2 linked regions of the Oryctolagus cuniculus genome follow. The protein of the gene in region 1 interacts with the protein of each later gene in a biochemical or structural test. Links are inferred from orthologs where the notes say so. Each region holds a gene or a part of one and is shown in the gene's direction. Other genes may lie near its edges.

Region 1 (3,500 bases):
CTGCTCCAAATACCAGAATTACATCATGGAGGGCGTGAAGGCCACCACTAAGGATGCATCGCTTCAGCCAAGGTAAACGACCCAGTCGAGCCGGCAGGTGGCGGTCAGCTTCGGCTGCACAGATTTGGACGCTTCACATGCCTGAGTTTGGGGGAGTGGAGCTCCGATTGTTAGTCTGGCCAAAGTCGGCTTCAAGTGGGGGGACTGTCTGCTGGTCACTTCAGATGTTAGCCCATTCAGCATGTGGCCTGGTCAGGGTGGGGCTGTCCCATACCCAGTGGGTGTGGCTCCTTTGTGGGACGGACAGTGGTTGAAGCTGCATGGCAGGGTGCCCGCGGAGAGCTTCTCACCTTTCCCATGTCTGTCTGCCAGGAACGTCCCAAACCGTTACACCTTTCCTTGTCCTTACTGTCCTGAGAAGAACTTTGATCAGGAAGGACTTGTGGAACACTGCAAATTATCCCACAGCATGGACACCAAGTCTGTGGTAAGGACTTTTTGGTTTTTTTTACTGTATTATTGGGGAAAAAATTCAAACTTACTGAAAAATGGTGAACTCCTGATTCACGGATTATTAACATTTTACCACCTTGGCTTACCCGGCCCGTCCCTGTATTGTTGGCTAATCGTCTGGGACTAAGTTATAGAGATGCCATGACCTTTGCCCGAAATCCTTAAATGTATATCCCGAGAGTGTTTTCTTTTAAAATAGAAAAATGCACACTTTTGGGGACAGCAGGCTAAGCCACTGCTTAGGAAGACGCATCCCATGTCCAGGTGGTAGTTCTAGTCCCTGCTGTTCCATTTCACATCCACCCTCCTGGTAACAGATCCTGGATCGGAAGTGAAGCAGCCGGGTCTGAACGGGCGCCCTTGGGGATCACGGCACTGCAGGCCACTGCTTCACCCGTTGTGTCAGTCTTAAAAAAAAGAGGCTGGCGCTGTGGCATAGTGTGTAAAGCTGCCAGCTGCCACCGGCAGTGCCAGCCTCTTTTTTTTTTTTTTTTTTTTGATAGGCAGAGTTAGTGCGAGAGACAGAGAAAGGTCTTCCTTTATCCATTGGTTCACCCCCTAAATGGCCGCTACGGCCGGCACACTGTGCCAATCTGAAGGTAGGAGCCAGGTGCTTCTCCTGGTCTCCCATGGGGTGCAGGGCCCAAGCACTTGGGCCATCCTCCACTGCACTCCCGGGCCACAGCAGAGAGCTGGCCTGGAAGAGGGGCAACCGGGACAGAATCCGGCGCCCTGACCGGGACTAGAACCCGGTGTGCCGGCGCCGCTAGGCGGAGGATTAGTCTAGTGAGCTGCAGCGCTGGCCCATCCGCTGCTTCTCTCTTCTCTGCCTGCAACAGCTGGGACTGGCCAGGTGAAAGCCGAGAGCCAGGCGCTTCATCCCAGCCTCCCACGCGGGTGGCAGGGCCCAGGTCCTCAGCCATGCACTGCCTTCCCGGGTGCACTAGCAGTAAGCCGGAATTCGAGCTGGCACTCTGCTATTGCTGTGAGGCTTAACTCACTGTACCACAGTGCCACCCCACTGTGCCTTTCAGGTAGGTGAAAATAATCCTGTTTTTTAATATGTATTTATTTGAAAGGGTTTTAATCCACTGGTTCACTCCCCAAATAGCCACAACAGCCAGGGCTGAGCCAGGCTGAAGACAGGAGCCTAGACCTTCATCTAGGTCTCATGTGGGTGCAGAGGCCCAAGCTCTCAGACTGTCCTCTGCTACTTTCCCAAGGGCGTTAACAGGCAGCTGGATTGGAAGTGGAGTAGCCAGAACTTAACCCATATAGGATTCCGGTGCCACAGGCAGAGGCTTAACCTACACCACAGCACCGGCCCTGCTGTTTCATTTAAATACCACAGAATGATTAGAGAAACCAGGACACAAACCAGTGCCCACTGGGGATGCCAGTGTTACAGGCAGAGGCTTTACTATGCTATGCCACAATGCCGGTCCCGAAAGAGATCTTCCATCTGCTGGTTCATTCCCAAAATGGCCACAACAGCCAGAACTGGTCCAGGTCAAAGCCAGGAGCCTGGGGCTCCATCTGGGTCTCCCACGCGGAGAGGAGGGACCCAAGGACTTGGGCCATTTTTGCTGCTTTTCTGGGCACAGCAGCAGGAAGCTGGAAGGCACTTGAACCATCACTCTGGAAGGGATGCTGGCATTCTGGCATCGTAGGAGCAGCTTAGCTCACTGTGCCACAACACCGACCCTAGCAGTGTTAGATTTCTCCCTTCGTGTAATGGACCTTGGTCTTCCTGTGTCATTGGGTATCTACCTCCTCTATCATTTTAATTTTCCAATTTATCTCCTACTGCTTCTCTTGATCTCTGCACTCCATTGAATGGGCAGGCTTCAGCTTCACTGCCATAGAAAGCGGTGTACTCCGCAAAGCCAAGGTTTCAACTCCATCTTCAAGAGGCTTTAAGAGTTCTTAATATTATTACTGGAGCTGGCGCTGTGGCGCAGCAGGTTAACGCCCTGGCCTGAAGTGCCAGCATCCCATATGGGCGCTGGTTCTAGTCCTGGCTGTTCCTCTTCTGAGCCCACTCTCTGCTGTGGCCTGGGAAAGTAGTAGAAGATGGCCCAAGTCCTTGGGCCCCTGCACCCGTGTGGGAGACCCGGAGGAAGCTCCTGGCTCCTGGCTTTGGATCAGCTCAGCTCTGGCCATTGAGGCCGTCTGGGGAATGAACCTCTCTCTGTAACTCTTTCAAATAAATAAAATACATCTTTAAAAAATTAACTAATTACTAATTGGAAGAGAGACATACAGATACACAGGGCCCACCTGCCTGCCCTTACTTCCCATCTTCTGTTTGAAAGTTAGACGGGTCTAGTGGCTCAGACCCTGCCCCCGTAGAGGAATGCACGGCTCCTGCCTGGCTGCAGTCCCGACTCCAGTCCGCTGTGCACTGGGAGGCAGCAGGTGCAGCTCAGGTGCTTTGGCCCCTGCCATGCACAGGAGAGACCTGATTGAGTTCTGTCTGCAGCCTGGCCCAGCCCTGGTGGTTGTAGGCATTTGAGGAATGAACCAGTGGATGGTCACGCTGTCTTTACAGCTGCGCCTCTCAAATTTAAAATAAAACAGATTCAGCTGTATTGGTAGCCATGGAAGCTAAAGTAGGAGGTTGAGTAAAACGGTGAGGCACTGTAGTTCACTTCCTGCGCTGTCTCCGCCCTCCTTGTTAGAAGTGGTGGGTAGTGCACCCCCCAAGTTCAAGTCAGGTGCCCATTAACGAGTCAGTGGCAGAACCAGTCCTGGCTCCTAAACCTGTTCTCTTCACTGTATCAGGAATGGTCTTCGTTGAGTGTTCATTAGTATTTGAATAGCGCTCAGCTACGTATATGGAAAAGTGCAAAATCATGATTCAGAGCCATTTAAGCTTTTTGTTGAGATTCAGCTACGTCCTCTTAGGGCCATTCTTCACTCTTGATATGGATGCTTTTCCATGTTATACGTTTTCACGGCCCCACACCTTTCCACTTTGCAGCTCT
Region 2 (3,500 bases), on another chromosome or scaffold:
TGACACTCATGGGGTCCCCGGGCCGATCTGTGGAAGGAAGGGGTTTTGGGAGATTGTCCAGGACCATTCCCACCCTCCCATTCAGAAGGAGCTGTGGAGTGGGCTCGGAGGGCCAAGCTGGGGGCGGGAGCACACCTGTAACTCAGCAGCACCTGGCCTGGGAACAACAGCTTTGCTCTCCACCTGCGGTGGGGACCAGGGTGGACCCTCCCCGGACAGCTCTGCTCCAGCCACAACCACCTCCTCGCCCTCTGGGCGCTGAATGGGCTCAAGGACAGCAGAGGGGTCAGGCCAGGGAGAGAAGAGAGGAAGGGAGAGCGAAGCCGCTAGCCTGCATCTGCCCGGGCACTGCGGATGCCAAGAGCTGTCCAGCTCCTGTCCGTGGCCCGCCCGCACGCCAGCAACTTGGCCGCACTCTGCCCTGGTCCCCTGGGCCTTGAGGCTGCAGCCACACAGTTTCCTTCCCCGCAAGCTGCCAGCAGTAAGAACCCAGGAACAAAAGGAGGCGTTTCCTGGGGACATCCGGGCAGTGGAGGCTCCCAAGGCTTCATTCCCTGCGACCTCCTGCAGGCGGGCAGGTGGTTGGCCGGCACTCTCAGAGACCTGGGCAGCTCTCACTGCCACGGCTCGTGCAGGGACTCTGAGCATGGCAGGAGCGCTGTCCTAAATGTCTGGGGACCAAGCAGGGGCAGCAGCAAATAAGCAGCAATAACGACAATGACAAAATTCAGAATTTGGTCCCTATTATCTTGTTTTTAAAACAACTTTGCTACCCTGGGAGGCAGCAGGTGATGGCTCACATAGTTGTGGGAATCCGTCCCAGAATCATCACCCCCCAAAAGTCTCCTTTGTAAGCCGTCCCTCCTGGCTGCTCCCCTCCCCCTCCCCTGGCACCGTGAGGACTCTGTACAGCATCCCCACCTCTAAGTGTCATGATGTCGCATTGTTCCGACTCGGGGCCAGCGTGGGCAGGGCTGGGTAGCGGGCTTCATCGCCACACCTGCAGTGCTGAGCAGCTCTGGAGAGCTGGCCTAGGTGTGAAGTCCAACTCCACGCTGGATACCATGGCGATGAGCCCGCAGCTCTCTCTCCCCTATTCCTGCAGCAAAAGAAGTGTGGCTTCTGCCCATTTCGCCCTCCATGAGGCCCACTGCCTGAGGTTCCTGGAACTCTGCCCTGAGTGCAAGGAGCCCATCCCGGGGGTGAAGATGGCAGACCATCTCAAGGAGCACCAGCAGGTGAGGGGGCGGCAGGACGAGACCTGGGGGCCGGGGCCAGTGTCCGCTCTCCCTGCAGCCATGTGGGCGGGACCTGGGGGGGCAGTGTCTGCTCTCCCTGCAGCCATGTGGACGGGACTTGGGGACGGGGGCCAGCGTCCACTTTCCCTGCAGCCATGTGGACGGGACTTGGGGACCGGGGCCAGCGTCCGCTCTCCCTGCAGCCATGTGGATGGGACTTGGGGACCGGGGCCAGTGTCCACTCTCCCTGCAGCCATGTGGACGGGACTTGGGGACCGGGGCCAGCGTCCACTCTCCCTGCAGCCATGTGGACGGGACTTGGGGACCGGGGCCAGTGTCCACTCTCCCTGCAGCCATGTGGGCGGGACCTGGGGGGGGGCAGTGTCCGCTCTCCCTGCAGCCACATAAATGGGGCCTGGGGGCCGGAGCCTGCATCCTGCTCTCCCTGCAGCCACTTGGCGTCGCCCCATTCAGTCCCTGTCTGTGACAAGGACAGTTTCCATTTCCAGTCCTTCCCCTACGGCTGCCATACAGCAGCCACACCAGGGGTCCCTGGTGCAGGAAGGGTTGCTGGTTCTTTGAACATTCGCGCGGAAGGGAAGCAGGAAGGGGGGCAGCCTGGCTGATTTCTGTTCCCTGCTTTTCATGTCAGCGCCTCCTGAGGCCCCTCATCTCTCTGTCTGGAGTCCTCAAGCCAGAGTGATGGCGAGAGAGGGGGGGAGAGAGAAAGAGATCTTCCATCTGCTGGTTTGCTCCCCAAATTCCTGCAACGGCTAGAGCTGGGTCAGACTGAAACCTGGCGCCTGGAATGCCATCCAGGTTTTTCCTGTGGGTGGCAAGGGCATGAGCACTTCGCCCACCCTCTGCTGCCTTCCCAGGCACATCAGCAGGGAGCTGGATTGGAGGCGGAGCAGCTGGGACTAGAACTGGTACTCTGATATGGGATGCCAGTGTCGCAAGCAGCAGCTTAACCCACTATACCATAACGCCAGCCCCTAGGCAACCATCTCAATTCTAACTGGGCCAGCAGGCACTTCTTGAGCACTAAGCTGGGTGATGATGGAGGGAGATTGAGGTAGCTGTACCCAATCCCTACTCTCTAGGAGCTCATGGACACAAAACTGCAGCTGCATGAGCCAAGGCAGATGTGAGGCGGGTCGTGGGTGTGTCTCTCAAACAAAATAGAAGTTTTAAAAAGGTGGGTGGGCATCTGGCACAGCACTGAAGGCACCAGTTGGGACGACTGGTGGGACGACTCCATGCTGGAGTGCAGGGTTGGAGGTCCTGTGTCTGGATGTTTAGGTCAGTTGTGCAATGTGCCATCAGACTGCTGGAATTATAGCAGGGGAGTCCCTGTGTGATTCCTCCGTGACATCAAGCTGGCCACCCTGTGGAAAGGGCAGTGAGAGGGGAGGAGAGGCCAACAGTTAACATGTTCACCGGGCTGTTCCCTCCTTGCTCAGGTAGGCTCAGAGAGCAGTGAGAACCAGGCCACCAGGGCGCCCGGGTGCACCTGCCCCCGATACTGCTCGGAAGGGCTTTCCACAGTCCCCAAGTCCAAGAGAGCTCATCTTTCCCTAAGACAGACAGTCCCGCACTCCGGCCCTTCCCCCTGCTTCCTCCGATCAGCTTCCGTTCCCTAGGAACGTGGGCTCATGTCCTTGACCTGTCTGTGGTCAAAGAGGCAGGCCCAAGACCACGCCCTTCCTGCTGCCTCCCACAGCCCGAGGAGTGCCTGGAGCGACCCGACAAGCACCTGGAGCAGCCCGTGGAGTGCAAGTTCTGCGAGCTGGCCGTGCACCTCAGCAAGCTGCAGACCCACGAGCACCACTGCGGGGCGCGGACCGAGCGCTGCCCGGACTGCGGCCGGTTCGTCATGCTCCATGAGCTGGCCCAGCACAGAGGTGTCTGTGGGGGCAGGCAGGCTTCCGGGCTCAGGAAAGGTAGGCAGCTCAGGCTGGGGGGAGGAGGGGCTTCTCTCCTGGGCGGGATGCGAGGAAGGGAAGCCGTGTGCATTGCGTGTGTCTCAGCTCAGCTGGCTCTTCCAGACCTTGCTGTGTGTCTATCCTGGTCCAAGGTGACCAAGAGGCCAGGGGGTGAGGGCCTGGAGTCCCACAGGGAGTGAGGAGGCCACAGCCATCGGTGGAACAGATCTTGTGTTGATGTCATCGGTTGTTCTGGTGACATGGAGTCAGCCTAAAACCCCTCGGATGGTAATCTTTGCTGGTAGATAATCTACCCAGGATCAACTGTGCCCGACGA

What was found.
Region 2: the proteins of RNF114 (region 1) and XAF1 form a complex in vitro, tested with the Homo sapiens proteins (2 studies listed by BioGRID). The link is inferred for Oryctolagus cuniculus from reciprocal best matches to the Homo sapiens genes RNF114 and XAF1.

The regions. Positions count from the first base shown.
Region 1 is NC_091442.1:10,686,664-10,690,163, reverse strand, and holds part of RNF114 (E3 ubiquitin-protein ligase RNF114), read left to right. Parts: coding exon 1-72; intron 73-372; coding exon 373-487; intron 488-3,500. UniProt on the Homo sapiens protein: E3 ubiquitin-protein ligase that promotes the ubiquitination of various substrates. In turn, participates in the regulation of many biological processes including cell cycle, apoptosis, osteoclastogenesis as well as innate or adaptive immunity.
Region 2 is NC_091448.1:49,844,149-49,847,648, reverse strand, and holds part of XAF1 (XIAP-associated factor 1), read left to right. Parts: intron 1-1,105; coding exon 1,106-1,238; intron 1,239-2,961; coding exon 2,962-3,181; intron 3,182-3,500. UniProt on the Homo sapiens protein: Seems to function as a negative regulator of members of the IAP (inhibitor of apoptosis protein) family. Inhibits anti-caspase activity of BIRC4. Induces cleavage and inactivation of BIRC4 independent of caspase activation.